Linked DNA regions of Caenorhabditis elegans. The protein of the gene in region 1 interacts with the protein of each later gene in a biochemical or structural test. Each region holds a gene or a part of one and is shown in the gene's direction. Other genes may lie near its edges.

The links. Proteins that work in one complex are often made in the same cells at the same time.
Region 2: the proteins of trh-1 (region 1) and trhr-1 interact in a test that uses a peptide from one of them, tested with the Caenorhabditis elegans proteins (one large-scale study listed by BioGRID).

What each region holds. Positions count from the first base shown.
Region 1 is NC_003282.8:17,365,250-17,372,494, forward strand, and holds trh-1 (THR-like peptide hormone), read left to right. Parts: upstream 1-3,358; 5' UTR 3,359-3,418; coding exon 3,419-3,452; intron 3,453-4,092; coding exon 4,093-4,182; intron 4,183-4,629; coding exon 4,630-4,707; intron 4,708-5,105; coding exon 5,106-5,194; 3' UTR 5,195-5,369; downstream 5,370-7,245. Other genes in the region: zipt-17 (Zrt (ZRT), Irt- (IRT-) like Protein Transporter), read right to left, coding at 1-142, 191-436, 482-595, 711-842, 961-1,033, 1,081-1,208; C30H6.5 (Apple domain-containing protein), read left to right, coding at 6,520-6,716.
Region 2 is NC_003279.8:6,985,417-6,993,620, forward strand, and holds trhr-1 (Thyrotropin-releasing hormone receptor), read left to right. Parts: upstream 1-3,650; 5' UTR 3,651-3,681; coding exon 3,682-3,870; intron 3,871-3,919; coding exon 3,920-4,046; intron 4,047-4,284; coding exon 4,285-4,396; intron 4,397-4,937; coding exon 4,938-5,097; intron 5,098-5,194; coding exon 5,195-5,324; intron 5,325-5,379; coding exon 5,380-5,495; intron 5,496-5,619; coding exon 5,620-5,872; intron 5,873-6,324; coding exon 6,325-6,425; 3' UTR 6,426-6,692; downstream 6,693-8,204. Other genes in the region: C30F12.5 (AbLIM_anchor domain-containing protein), read right to left, coding at 6,896-7,032, 7,400-7,653, 8,047-8,117.

The sequences.
Region 1 (7,245 bases):
TTTCATGAGGAAGTTCGTGACAAATTACTGCGATGGTTGTTATGAATCCGAGTTTCACGGAAATCATGAATGAAGCTCCCATTGCAAGACCATCGACCAAATTGTGTACACCATCACCGAATAAAATTATCAATGCTCGGGGCTGGAATTGTCGTTGTAGTACCGTCCAACTATTTCAAATAAAACTCACTTTCAGTCCGCAAATCTCTGTACCATCATCATCACCATCCTCTCTTAAACTGATCAGCTCGTGTCCTCCTTGCTCTCTGCGCTTCTCCAACTCAACACTATTTCTTCTTTCTTTTTTCGATGAATCATTATTATTATCTTCTTCGCTACCAGTTATACTATGATTTGAAGCTGAAGATTTGATGTCAGAGTGTGTGGAAACTGAAGATGTAATAACTGGCGACTTTGTAGAAGGGGAACAGTAGTGCTACAAAGGTAAAGTTGTGGCAAAAGGTTTTGGGATGAAACTCACGAGATGGGTCTTTCTGTAGAACATGAAAAACTCTACAAAGTAGAGAATGTAGATGGAGAGAACAATAACAGAAAGACGAAGAAGATTTTTACGAGCAGGTGTGACGGTATACCACTGAAATATGTTTATTCCAAATTAATTTCAGTTAAAATGTTTTCGTTCAGAAAAATTTCAAATTTTTTTCGAAAATTCTAGAAATGCAAAGATACTATTTTAAATGATATCTCACCATAATGCGGTCACTATCATCATGGTGATGACTATGCCCGTGTCCTGATGTTCCATTTTCCAAATCTGTATGCTCATGATGATGTTCATGGCTATGTCCGTGATTGTGCCCATGATCATGGACGCCGACAACCTAAAATCAAAACTTTTTCACTTAATTTATATTTTGGAAACTTTAATCCTTTAAATGCAAGAAAACTTTAGCGTGCGAAAAAGTCAGGGCATTATTTTTGAATCATTAGTAATTTCACCTGCGGAATTATATGTAGAATTGCATCCGAACTCAGTGTAGACACGGCCATTGCCAAAAAAAAATGTAGCCATCTTAAAATTTGGCAATAAATACAGTTTCAACTCCAACCCAAGCTCACCGATGTTTTGCATCTTTTGTCATTAGTGGGCCAATGCATGCACCACCCAAGGATAATAATGAGACAACCGTGACTGAGATAACACCATAGAGTACTGTATCGAACATAACAGGACCTTCGGACATCATTTTATGTAGAGTATTATTTTGAAACTGTAATTTAATAAAAACTTAGGAAAGAGCGATGGAAAACAGGTATTTTAAAAACCAGAATAAAGTTCTCGATCTGTACTTTTTACGTTAAAGAAATTGAAATTTCAGTGTAAAAATGTGTTCAACTTGCCAATATAAGAAACGGAAGTCAAATAAAAGTGGACAGTCCACTAAAAGCAGCAGATAGTGAAAGAAAAATATGGAAAGATTGAGAGTGTGGGTAAATGGAAGAGAGTTTAGAGGTACAAATAAGATATCAAATATCAGTGGATTGGGGTGGGAGGAATAGGAAATGGGCAACGGGCGCCCGCACTTTATCCGGTTTTCAAGAGGAACTTGGCAAGAATTATGCGAAAACGACGGTATGGCTCTGTTCCGGATAGTTCTAGATTCGAAACGAAATTATTTTTAAAAAAACGGTACACTTACCATTCAACTAATTATGTAAAGTTTGCTTTGTAGACTAGGTCATTACAGAAAGTTGAACTTTGGTTCGTCCAACTATCCGTTAAAAAAAAGTAGTATGTCGTAAAATTGTTGCACTTTTGCAAGAAAGGTGCACTGCTAGAAAAACTATGTTTATTTTTGTAAAAGTGGTATTAATGCGTTTACGGGAAATGTTTTTGTTGGTGAAAAAACGTTGAGTAAACACATAGAAACGCTCTGTTAGCAGAGGAAGGGCAAGTGTTCTTATGCTTTAAAAAAAGGCGTCCCGAAAACACCTAATTAGAAATGTTGTAAACAGATTATCCGTTCTGTATTTTGTTTTTGTTAATTAATTCAGCAAGTTCTAAATCAAAAAAGCGGTATAATATTAAATGGTCTCGTTTAAAGACATTCTTTTTCAATCAAAGTGTTACTCACCTTCTGTTAGCTAGGAACTGTACAAAAATCAAGAAAAGAAGCGTCGAACCGAGAAATGAAATATAGAAATGATATAATAGAAAACAAAAAATAGGAATTAGTCACGTGTGTTTAATTCAACAAGTTCTATTTGCCGATTGCTAGAATTTTTACACTATTTATCTATTAAAATCAGTTGAATACAACGTGACTTGCTTATGGATTATCTCGGAATTTTTTTCGAGGCTCCTGTCAATTGTCAATGTTCAAGATCATTCATTGCCGCTAGATGTTGTAAACGCAAATTGCTATTTACATTTATACTATTAAAATCAGGCATTCCACTCGCGCGATGCGTGACGGGAGAGAGCTTTGTCGACAAAAAAACCTTTGAAATTTGACTTTAAAAATCCCAGGTCATGACGATCGTTCAAGTTTTTATTATATTTTGTATTGTATTTTTAATAAATACTTTAGACAATTCCTTTCTCTCAGTTTTCTTAAACTGTCTGATAAAAAAAATCAATAATGTTTTAACATAGGAAATTTGAATGAATATTCTGCTGACCTAAAATGGCCATGTCGTGGAATATAATTCATTTCCACTTTCAGAAACTTGTCAATTTTTCAAAAATGCTGAGTGTTAACGGATTTTCCCGTTTTTTCCCTTGCAATGAATGAATGTTTGAGCTCAAATACTACATTTAAAAACAATTTCCCCCCTTTTATCTATATTTATTTATTGGTAGAATTTGTCAACTAGAGTACAAAAAAAAGACGACCTCTTCTTAAAAATAACTTATGACTACTCTGTAACATTTTTCAATGCAGTAGTTTTCATGGCTTCCGTGAATGAATATTCATTTTCAGATATTCGATATTTCACAGCTGACCATTTCTATTGTCTATTTTTGGAATTTTGACAGTTGTTGCAATTGTTTACAGCAAATATGAGAACGCTTCATTTTTTTTCAGTTCTCTAAAATTTTAAAACTTCCGTTACAAACCATATATGACGTTCCATATGACGTTATCTCAGCAGCAGTCTCATCCATCTTTCCAAAAACCAACCTCATCATTTCTCAAAGTAACCGATACTTTTCACATCGCCCAACAATCCTCAAACGCCTCCACTTCCCCTAATTATTTCGTCACCATTTTGATGAGAGCTCTCAAAAACGGGCGGTCTGTTTGGAAATGTGATAGGTAGGCGTGGCTTCTCGCGCGCCCTGTGATATATCTTTTAGGGTCCGCAACGATGAGATTCATTCTCACTTTCAAGCGCACGCCTTCTATTGGTGGTTGTGTGCTTACCAAATTATTTTCTGCCCACTACAGCGAAAATGATGAACTACTCAGTTGTTCTGCTACTTTTTGGTGAGTAACTAAAATGTTCTTTTGGTATTATAGAGATCTATTCATATATTCAATTGTTTAAATTTCCTCGAACTCAATACCATAAATTAAATTTTTGAAAAAATGGATTACAGTCCAATTTGTTGTTTAAATTTTGCTTCGTTTGAGTTCATTGACATTTTCCCAGACTTCACATTGATTCTAAGTTGAAACCTTGCATTTAAGTCAGACTTAGATAAGGAACTGGATTGAATTACCATCGCTTGATCTTTTGCTTTTTGAAAGATTACTAGTAAATACCAGATGACCGCATATCCGGTTTTAAACTTTTGTTTTGCTTCGCACTCTATTTATACTTCGATACTGAATATTTTGATGACGTTAAATGTTAAGAAGCATAATTGGGTTAGATTTGTTTTCATTGGATTCATTGGATTCTAAAAATAAAGAACATGTATTCCCGTAACTTCTTAATATGATCAGATTGAAAAATAGGTATATGTATCAATGTTTGCCACGTGTAAATTATCTTGGCTGATATATGTTTAAAAGAAAAAAACACGAGGGGACTGCGAGAGAACCTCAAAATGAAAAATTGATAAACTTGAAATATATGAATCATTCCCATATCTTCATTATTTCCCCAACATACAATTTTCAGCCCTATGCTCAATTGTTGCCGCCTCACCCATGTGGTTCGACGAAGAGGAGCCGATGAATTTAAGAGCGTTCCGTGTAATGCCTAATCAATGTGAGATTTCTCAAAATAAAAATTTTTGGCGAATTTATGATGATTTGGAAAACTAAAAACTGGCGAATTTATGATGATTTGGTAAACTAAAAAATATTTTGTAGCTCGGGTAGACTTGAGGTTAAAGATCTTGAGCTTGTTTAGGTATAACAACCTGAATTTATTATGCAGTTTGAAAAATCAATTTTAAAATTTGTCCTAAAAGAGAAAGACAAATATACATATTTTCATATTCACTTGAAGTATTTTACCAAATGTTGTTGAATTTGTTTAGACACTCAAAAACATGCATACTTCCTCATTCAGCTCAAATGTTCCAAAAACATCGAAAAACACCATCAAAAATAAATTATTTATTTTGCTTGAATCATTGCGAATCTTTTTTTTTGACATTCTTGAACAATTCACTTTTTGGTATTTTTACTTTCAACAATAATTAACTTTTAGTGGACTCAATCGATGCATCCAGGAGACTTCTGAAACGTGCAAGTATGTTTAACAAGAGAAGAGGACGAGAACTTTTCGGTAAGAAATAGTGTACTTTCATTTATAAAACTAAAAAAATACTGCATGTTACATAAATATGTGAAACTGATTGTTGCAGCTTTCACATCTTGTTAAATACAAAAATTTTAATCACTGCCATCCATTCACTTTTCTTTCTAAAAAATTTCCGAATCAATTTATAATATGACTTGGAGTTCATAAAATCTCCCTTTCCAAGAAAGGCGCGAAAATGTTCTCCTAGTTGGAAATTCGAGCTAGATCAGATTTCACTGGCAGTTTTCAATAGAATAGGCTGGAAAAGGTCGCGGAGATCATGATTACACTTTTACACAATTTACGGAATAGATACACTTTTGAGAGAAATACTTTCTGTCTGAATATGGAATTATAGGAAGATCAATATTAATTTTTTTCAGGAAAACGATCTCTCCCAATTGAGTATCCAGATGAAACTGTGATGTACGAGAGCAGATTCCGACGACGTGCCAATGAACTTTTCGGTTAAAATTATTTCTTGAAATTTGCTCTCTCCCTTTTTGTGTGTGTGTATTTATTTTTAATATCATTTTTTCTATATATTTTTAACATTGCGATGCGGCGAAACGAACCAAATATTTCAATTAATTATTTTATACTTTTTGGTAATAACTTCTCGACTTGAAATAAATGGGCTTGTGAATAATTTTCTTAATCACGAATTAAAAGTAAAAAAATGTTTTGACTTGATTAATAGTAAAACCGACTGCTACAATGGTTGTTTTAGCAAGCTGGCCTATATTTCAAAGCAGTTCATGAACTTTTTTTCATAATCCTTCGAGACCTCACATTGAAATTTTATATTATTATAAAACCATCTAAATTTTTAAAATTTTTTTTAGAAATAGGTTCTAGATCCCAGATTTTCTTTAGCAACTCTTTTATTTTAATTTAAACTATGTAATTAAGCCTCCGTTACGTCTGAATGTATTTATTTCACTGAAAAAGTGAAAACCATGGTGTGGCTACGTAGTCCACTGATCGTATCTATCCAAATGTGTGTATCTATCTTTAAATGAGTGTTCTGCAACCGAAAGAAAAAAGAAGGGCGCGATGGGGATATAGATCATTAAGCTGTAATATATTTTGTATGTCTGTATGCTTGTTTACACCGGACTTTTGAAGCAACGGATGTTTTGTAATGCCCGCCAGATTTGAATTTTGTTGAAAACAATTACATTTGGATAGCTGACAAAATAGCTTTTGTTAAACGGCTTAAAAGCTTTCTGGTTTTGATAAGCATATGGTTTTGAAGCGAGTCAATAAGCAAGAGGTTATTTAAACGGCTGCAAAGTTTACCCCAGTGTGGCATCCAGGCATGCAAGTGTATCATAAACTGAAAAAAGTTACAATTTACTTCACGTACAGTAAAAATCACCATGAATTCTATGAAAACGTCAAAAATTCAACGGCTCAAACTGACCCACCTCGATTCTACGCTCATCTCAACTTGAGATGCTCAAGTAAAAAGTTGAACACAATACTGTTTCTAGATCAAAAAACGAGGGAGTAAAGGCACTTGCCTCGATTTATGGAATATCTGAAAATAACTCATTCGCACAACCTTCCACTCTTTTAGTTTTTCAATAGATTTACAAAAAAGCAGAACAAAATTCGCTTTCAATTAAAAAAAGGTTGAAAACGAAAGTGAAAAGGGAAGTGGAGAAACTGAACATTACGCAATGAATATTTCATGAAGCATGGGTAGCCCAAAATACCGTATTAATCCCAGAGAATCAGAGAATCCGACACAGAACTAGCCCTCCGGTCATCAGATGGAAGGGGCGGGAGAAGATGAGAGGACAGCAGTCAAAAAACGAGAGGACAAGAAAGACGAAAAAGCTGTTGGCAGCTGAAGGGATGAGAAGTAGGAGAAGTAAGAAGCTGGTGGAGGAGAAGAAGAACAAGATGCAGCTTCTGGTAATGTTGATGCCACCGCTGCAAAATCAAAGACTGCTTACTTTTATTGTACTACTTTTCCACGTTTTTGGGTAGGTTTCACGTTGTTTTTTTTTTACATAGGAAGATGTCGATTAAATTATTTGCTCGTTTGCTCGTACTACTCCGCATGTTTTTATTTTACATAACTTAATTTTAAAATGGCGGGGATACAACAAGTACCCTTTCATATTGCAAACTTGTAAATTTAATTCCGTTTTCGTCTTTTTTTTCTTAGAGTTCTTAAAAAAAATGTTAATCTACTTAATAAAAACCGCTATTATATGTAGTAACTTTTTAGGACTAATAAAAATCTTACATTAAAAATTGAAAAAAAAAACTTTAATTGAAATTTATAAAATTTAAAAAAAATTTTTAAAGGGTTAACTCTCCAAAATTAATCTTATAGCGGATTTGTTTTAAACAGAATGTTCTCCATAAAAAATATGAAACTTTTTCTCTAGCTTTTAGTACGAATTATGTTCTTTGACAACTAAAAACTTCCTCTCTACAGAAGAAATCAACACAAATATGAATTCAGGTCTTTAGCCTATTTATTTTTTATTTGTATATTTACTTCAT
Region 2 (8,204 bases), on another chromosome or scaffold:
CCCTTCAACTCAAAAGACCAGTGTTCAACAAGAAATGACGATATCTCTATCCTTTTTTTCCCCATATCACTTGCACAGTCTCTTATCATCTTTCTCACTTAATGGTTTGCATGTCCTTAACCTTCCGTAGACATATCCAATTGAGTTTCTCCCACAGCTGTTGATCTTCGAAATGCTTCACTAACTGGTGTGAAGGTGGTGTGACTTCTTTTTTTTTTGAAGAGTAAGTGGAAGAATTGTGTTTGCATTTGGATTTAACTTCTTTTTCTTTTTTGTTTTTCATGTTTTTGATTCATGAGAAAAGTATTCATTCATTTGAATAATATGAAGAAAGTAGGGGCAATTTGGAAAAACGTTCATTCTATTTTCTTACTCTTATTTTAGGTATTCTTAATTACTTTGTGTATTATTTATACTACACAACTTTTTCCATTCATTTTTTTTTCTCAGAAATTGTGTTTTTTTTTGTTATTTGAATCGCACAGAAATGCTAGATTTTATGGAATATTTCTAAAATATTTTTGTTAAATATTGTTCTACAATTATCTACAAAAAGAAATTAAGAAAAATTAAAGAATAATAATGTCGCAGTCAAAAATGGAGCTTTTCACTTTTTTTCATTAAAACCATGCCTCGTGTTAAGCCATCCCTTTTGCACCCTTCGAACCTCCTTTTCTTTCCTTTTTCTCCGTTTTTCAGTCTCATTGGATTATTTTGTTAGTCTCTCTTGCTCTGCGAGCACTGCACTTTTTGAATGAGTCGGCTTTCAGACAAAACGATTTTTTTTGAAAATTTCTAGTTTTTCTTGAGATTCCTTTTCAAATTTAATTTTATCCAGTTTCACTTTTTTCAGAAATATAAAAATTGGAATATCAGAAAATCATCAGCTGCTACTTGTTCACTTTTTGTATTATTTGCTTATCTTTATTCTTATTTACTACTTGTTTGTGTAGATCAAAAACAAATTCGAGCAAAAATGAATCATCATGGAATACTTGACAAACAACTCGGTTTTTTTTAAAGGAAAACATTTCCGTTTAGGTTCATAATATTTCAAAAAGTTTAAAAATATCTTCTGAGCTGATTTTTAATAAGTTCAGAGCCAATTTTGAATTTTACGTTTGTCCAGGATAGTTGCTAAAGTTGCTCAAAAAAGTATGCCCACTTTTTTTCGGATTTTTCGGATTTGTTGTATATCAGCTTCTGCACAAAAATGAAAATCGTTGTGCTCATTGTGTCTTATCCACCTCTTGAAATGTCCAACTTATCCAATTTCACCATAACCTTCACTCTATCCTTTCACTATCAAATCTCTTTTTTGTCTTCCAATTTGTCAGTTCCTCTCGTTTCTTTCAATTGATACGGGTTAAAGGATGGGCTTTTGTTTGAACTGTATCAGCTCTCCGTATCCTTATGTTCTTCGACATTATTGACAATTGTATCAGAGATTCGTAAGATTGACTATTTGTGCTTTTCCTCCGCATTGTCTACTACATATAACTCTGAGCAAAAATGAGCAAAAAAGGTGATAGAACCAGTATAAAAAACTATCAGGGATGTAGAAAAAGAGATGGGAATTGTTCAAAATTGTATGTTTTCCGCTAAAACTATGGGCATCAAAAACTACATCTACATCGTTCTATGGTGATAAAACCTTTTAAAATTAGTAAAATTCTACTCTATAGAGTATATATTTAAATTTACATTAAGTTTTTAAAATGAGTCAAATGACTTTTTGAGTTAGACATTCTAAGATCTCGATCACTTTTTACTCAATCACCATGACTTCCCTTTTCTACTTTTTTTTTCATTTCGTGACGCCTTCATTTCAAGAACTCATCCGTTTGCAACCATTATCATTATTTTTATTCTTTTGAATTTTCGTTGAAAATAAGTAAACTTTCATAATCTGAACATGAGTCAGAAGATATCTCTCAAAATCTGGGTTTAATTGCAAAATGATGCTATCAGTTCTTGAGATTAAAAAAATAACGGTGAGGACGAAATTTTGACAAAAATAACAATTTTCATTGAAAATGTTCTTGTTCTATAGAAACGTTAAAAACCATATTGGAAATTTTTAAATTAGGTTTAACAATTTAATAAGTATAATTCAATTTTTTAGCTGACAGAATACATCTAGAAATGTTCATTCTCACAACACTGAAAAAACGAAAAATTATTATTTTTTCTTAAATTTTTATTTTATTTTTTTCCAAGTAGGCGCCGTAATCCTGACCTCGAGTGCCTTACGCCTCAACTTCAAGGCTTGAAATGTTTTTCGAATAAAACCTACGTTATTTGGAAGAAAATTTTTAACTGAAGTATTGAATGTTTAATTGTTTAAAATAGTTTTTAATTAAAATAGCATTGCAATATTTCTTCTCATCATCAAGAAACTTGCGTGATCTCCGTTTTTGAGTTGATCAAACAATGAAAACATTAAATAATATGCTTTGAAGCTATTTCCCTCGTGAATGCCACACCTAGACAATTTTAAGAGTATCGATGCATGTTTCCTCGAAATTTTTCATGATGAAAACAGTTCAAACAACAAATGTATTTTTTATCTCAGTCGATTTTTGAAATATTTCTTCTTTCCCTAAATCTGAAAAGGTACAATGCCCAATGTTGTATTCCTGCTTCATGTTCTGGTGCACAAAGAGCATCTTAGTACCGCCCACATTGTTCAAATAGATACCCACACACAGACAGCCGAATACCTCATCTTTTCGTGGCCTTTTGGAAAATTGCGTTCCAATCTCGTGACATGGACTTGATTAATAAATATAAAATCAGCTTCTTCCTAAATTGTTAAAATATAAAATAAGCTTCCGTTTTTCTTCTTGTTCTCTATTCTTCTTACCCTCTCATAATTCTTTTTTCTTCCGTTTGCTCTATATAAATTAAAATCCAATTAATTTAATACCAAAGGGAGTTCCAAAGTATAACACAAGCCTCCGCCCACCCGTGAGTGTTCAGGTGTTGTATAGTATAGATCACATTTTTAAAAGTTCTCTTTCGCATTTATTTTTTCGTTGGTTTTGATTTTAAAGATGACTTGAATTGTTATCTTATCTATTTTCGGTCTCTAACCACGGCCATACAACCAAAATAATGACGACAATTAATTGTAAGCTGATTATTTATGGAATCAACTAGAAGTATTCATTGATTTTACTGTTTCAGCGTTTTTGTTTTCAACTTAATCACGTCTATATATAACTTTTTGAAATTATTTAAATTTTATTTTCTTAACTTTTGAATTTAGTTCATTTATTTTAATGCCATTATTTAGAACTTGTAAGCTCCTAGACAAATAAATCATATATTTTAAACTATAGTTGTTATAAACTCATGGTATTATAGTTTTGTTTTTCAGTATGGAACATGCGACGTAGTATAAAATTCAAAAAAAAATTTAATTTCAAATTCAAGCTCATTTTTCCTTTCTATATTAAAAAATTTTTAAAAAACAATTTCCTAATTTTCTACAATTCTAAAGTGGTTCATTACTTTTTTTTAAATATCACCTGCTTTTAATACACATTTTTTGGAACAATTTTTCTTTGTAAATAACTTTTTACTTTACGTTTTTGAAAACATTCTCGATCTCCAAATCTTCCAATAAAAATCCAATTAAATTTCAGCCATTTACTACGTCACCGAACACCTTCTAAGATGACGTCAGCCTCATTGGCAGGCATATCAATATCGCCAATTGTGCCGGAAGAACTCGACGGCACAATAGCACCAATTGGAACACAACCAATGGACATCACATTAGCATTTGTGTTTTCTGCGATTTCAGTCATTGGAGTACTTGGAAACCTTTTAGTAATTACAGTTGTACTTAAAGTTAGAGGAATGGTAATAGTTGGAGTACAAATTGATCAAAATATTAATTAAAAAATTACAGAAAACACCAACTAATTGCTATTTAGTATCATTGGCCGCCAGTGACACATTATTCTTTTTTGCTTCAATGCCTCATGAAATGATGTATTTATTGGGTCCAAATGATCATTATTTATTTGGAAGTTTAGGTAATTACTTTTGGTTTTTTTGTAGAAAATTTTTGAAATTGGCTGTGAGCATTACGTACTTGAGATATTTCTTAATGATATGAGTCAGACTTGTGCTCGCTTCTTTCATTTTTGATTTCCTTTTGATTTATTTGCTGGTCAGGCTCTTATCAGAGAAGAGATTGATTACAGTAGTGAGTGGGCTTGTTTCCAAAAATAGAGATGTTTTCCATTTTGGATTCACTAAAATTATTTTCAGGTTGTGTACTTCTAACCTATCTTCCATATCTTGCAATGAACACTTCAAGTCTGTCTATTTTAGCGTTCACAATTGAACGGTATTATGGTATTTGTAATCCATATAAAGCCAGGTGAGAAAGTTTTGTTTTTTATTTTTTACTATACAGTCAGTTTCACTCAATTAATTTCCACATTATCAGTAACCGAGTGTGCACTAGAGCACATTTATAAAATCTTCTCTAAAGTTAGCTAAACTTGTTTAAGAAATTGCTAAAGTTGGTTGAGATGTTTCTGTGAGAAAATTCCCGGCTATTTTTGGTAAATTCCTGGCAACATCTAACCAATAATTAGCCCACGTTTTATTGAAAGTCAGAGTGATCCATCATAGTTTAAGGCAAAAAAGGTCTTGAAGCTTCACCAAATGTTGTAAATCCAACCTCGACTGTCTCACCTAAATTTAACACAAGTTCCAACTAGGTGTTGCACATTTATTAAACGCACAAAAATATAGTGCATCGTCATCCAAAAGTTTTGCGAGCATTTCATTCAAGTTTATATTTTGGGGCTAATCTTACGGATAAGTAACCGATTACTTACGAGATTTAACCTTTCCAATAATTTGCATCACTTCTTTTTCCTACAACCCAAAATCAATAAAAAACAATATTCCAGAACCATGTGCACTGTTAAACGCGCAACGTGTATTATCTGTGGTATCTGGATCTTCTCAATGCTGTATCATTCCTATTGGCTTTTCTTGGCTACGTTAATCAAAGATGATATTGGAACATCTTGTAGTTTTCGGTTGGAAAGAAATAGTCATGCTTACAAGGTAAACGATATTATATTTCAGTTTTTTTGTTTTCCACTTTTAACTTTATCCATGTCAATTTATAAATAGAATAACTTTATAATTTTTACTTTTTCAGATAGTTTTCCTTCTTGATTTCGTCCTGTGGTACGTGCTTCCAATTATGTGCGACATCATTATCTACGCAAAAATCGGTATCACTTTGAGTCAATGTGGAGATAAGATTAAGAAATCGGTGAAGCCGAAAAGTAACATAACTACTAATAATTCTCATCACAAAACAATGAGGTTTAGAAATTTCAGTACCAAATGAAGTGATCGTCGAAAAATCAAAGACATCGTCGACTTCAATGGGACATTATTCCGGAAGAGATTCTCATATTTCGGGGAAACGGAACTCGGCAAAAGGAAGAAATCAGGTGGGATCAAGTTTATAATCCTCCCTTTTTATTTATTTACTTTCCCAAATGTTCTTGGATTTGTGGTGTGAGGGTTCACAATTTTTTTTGGAAAAAAACTGAACAAATAAAATAACATTTTCAGGTTGTAAAAATGCTTGCAATCGTTGTGGCCGTCTTCGCAGTGTGTTGGCTTCCTTATCGTGGAATGGTTGTCTATAATTCATTTGTATCGGATCCAAAGTATTCATGGAGTCCTGATTGGTATATCAATTTGTCAAAGACACTTGTATTCATCAACTGTGCTATTAATCCAATACTATACAACTTGATGTCTGCTAGATTCCGTGCTGCATTCAGATCGTTGTTATCGAAAAGAAAGAATTCCGGATTTAAATGTGAGTTTTTAGTTTGACCAGCTAAATGGGTATTTTTTTAAAGAAAATTATTGGTAATTAAAATCAATAATTTCGATTCAGTGTGATCCCACTTAAATTTTATACATTGTTTTTAAAAGAAATGTGTCCACAGTTTAAATAATTGATCACTTTTTAGAACATTTCAAGAAAAACGTATTTCATGTTCCAAAAATGGTAATTTTCAACCAGCTCGTGCCTTTGCACCGACGAAACTTATCAGCTACCATACTCACAAGTATTGTGCATTTTCCGCTTACTCTTCTCAGTTTACTTGAGCTTTTTATCAGAAAGTTAAAGAAAATGTGTGGTATAAACTGATAAAAGTCTACTTTCGGTTACAGTAATTTTGCTCGTAGACTCAAAGCTGTGATTCGAAAAATTTATCTTTTTGATCAAAAACTTTGATTATGACAAACCTGATACATTTTCAGCAACAGCTTTGAACCAACGTCACCGATTAAACACAATGGATATAATGTCATCAGCTGAACCAAAATCTCCATTAATAACATCAATGGCTGGAACTCCGTGATACATTTCTCTTATTCCTTCAAATTATCTCCTTCTCATCATAGTGTTGCCTTTAATTTTTATTTATGGGTTCAAATTTCGCCAATTTTTAAATAATTATGTACAGTATGTTTTTTTCTCCCTGAACTTCTCATCATTTTACAACCGGGTAAAAGCACATTTTAAGAAAACCGCCTTCTCTGAAAAGTCACACATGTTTTATTTTATTTTTGTCTGTTTTATCATATTTGATAAAAGAATATTATTTTTTATTATATAAAAATCAATTATTTTTATTTGTTTTTTTTAATTTACAATTGGAAAAAAGGTGAAATGTTCTACAAAAACCAGTATATAGAAAATGGAAAGAAAACATTCGAAAATTGTGAGAAATTTTGGAATCTCCCATTATTTCTCACACAGAATATAAAGTTGGATGGCTGAAAGATCTAAAAAAATATATGTAAAATTTTGAGAAATTAAAATATTTTGTTAATAGATAAGTTCTTCACGTGTCTGCGTCTCTTGTTTCCTTCGTGGATCCAAGAAGTGTGGGTCATTTCCAGATGAATATGATGGAGATAATGGAGGTGGAGGTGCTCCATTCGGAGCAAGACGAGCACGTGGAACTGTAAATAATAGTATAATGGAAAATAAAATTTCAGAAAACTAAAAATGAAATATTTTTTATTAAACAGAAAATGTGTCAAATGGGTTTTGATTTAAAATTATTCAGTTTTTCCTTACTTTTAAGGTTTTTACTGAAAGTTTCCAGAAAGCTTCCCTCTTAAGGAACAATGCTACTAGAAGAAGAAGAAGCTAGAAGTGAAAAATGCATTCATTGTTTTGTTACATTTTTTTTCAACGTGAAAAGAAACTCAAAACATTATTGCGGAATTCTCAAGGGTTTCCACTTTTTTTACAAAATAAGTTGTATATTTTGCTGATGGATATTATTTTTTGATATTTCCAAAACATGTTTAAAAATAAACTAACTAGTTCCATAAGTCGGGTCAATTGGTGGAAGTGGTGAATATAGAGGATGTCCTATTCTCGGTTCATCAATTGGTAGTTGTCCCATTGAACCATTTTCATAATCTTTCTGTCCTTTTCTATTTGTGTCAACTCGATATCTGTATGTTGAGTTTGGAGTATGTGGTACGGTTGTTCCTGGTGGTGGTGGGTATGGTAGAGGACTTCCAGAGTATGGGGTTGAGTAGATTGCATCGTGGTGACGTGGATTCAACGTGCTGGAATAGAATTATTATCGGGCTGGTAAGTTTGTAGGTTAACCAAGACCAAAGTTTTAGTCAGTAAATCGTCAAAAACCTTACACAAATCCGCCTTTCACTACTTGGAGATCTGCTTTATACAAGTGGAGCAAGCTAGGAAACATGGATGTAAAAGAAAATTATTTGAACAAGAGGAAAACAAGTATTGACTTCAAAAACCGAAAAAAATTTAAAAAAATAAAAGAAATCCAAAATTGTTTTTTGGTTTTAACGTTAGGAAATTAATGACATCATGGACTTGTGTTGTTGAAAAAGGAATTCAATTCCGGACGACCAGGGAAACAGTCATTTTTAGGTTACACCGTAAATTCGCATCCCTAATACCGAGCAAATTTTTAATTTGAAACTTACGAAGGTGGAGTGATAACGTAGAGAGGCTCAATAGACTTGTAAGTTGCTGGTTTCGTAACTTCGTACTTTTCCTGAAAACAATTGATATTTGTCATTCAAATTTCTCTTTGATCATTGGCGTCTTTCATTTTTTCCCGTTAAAATTGATCGTTTGAAAA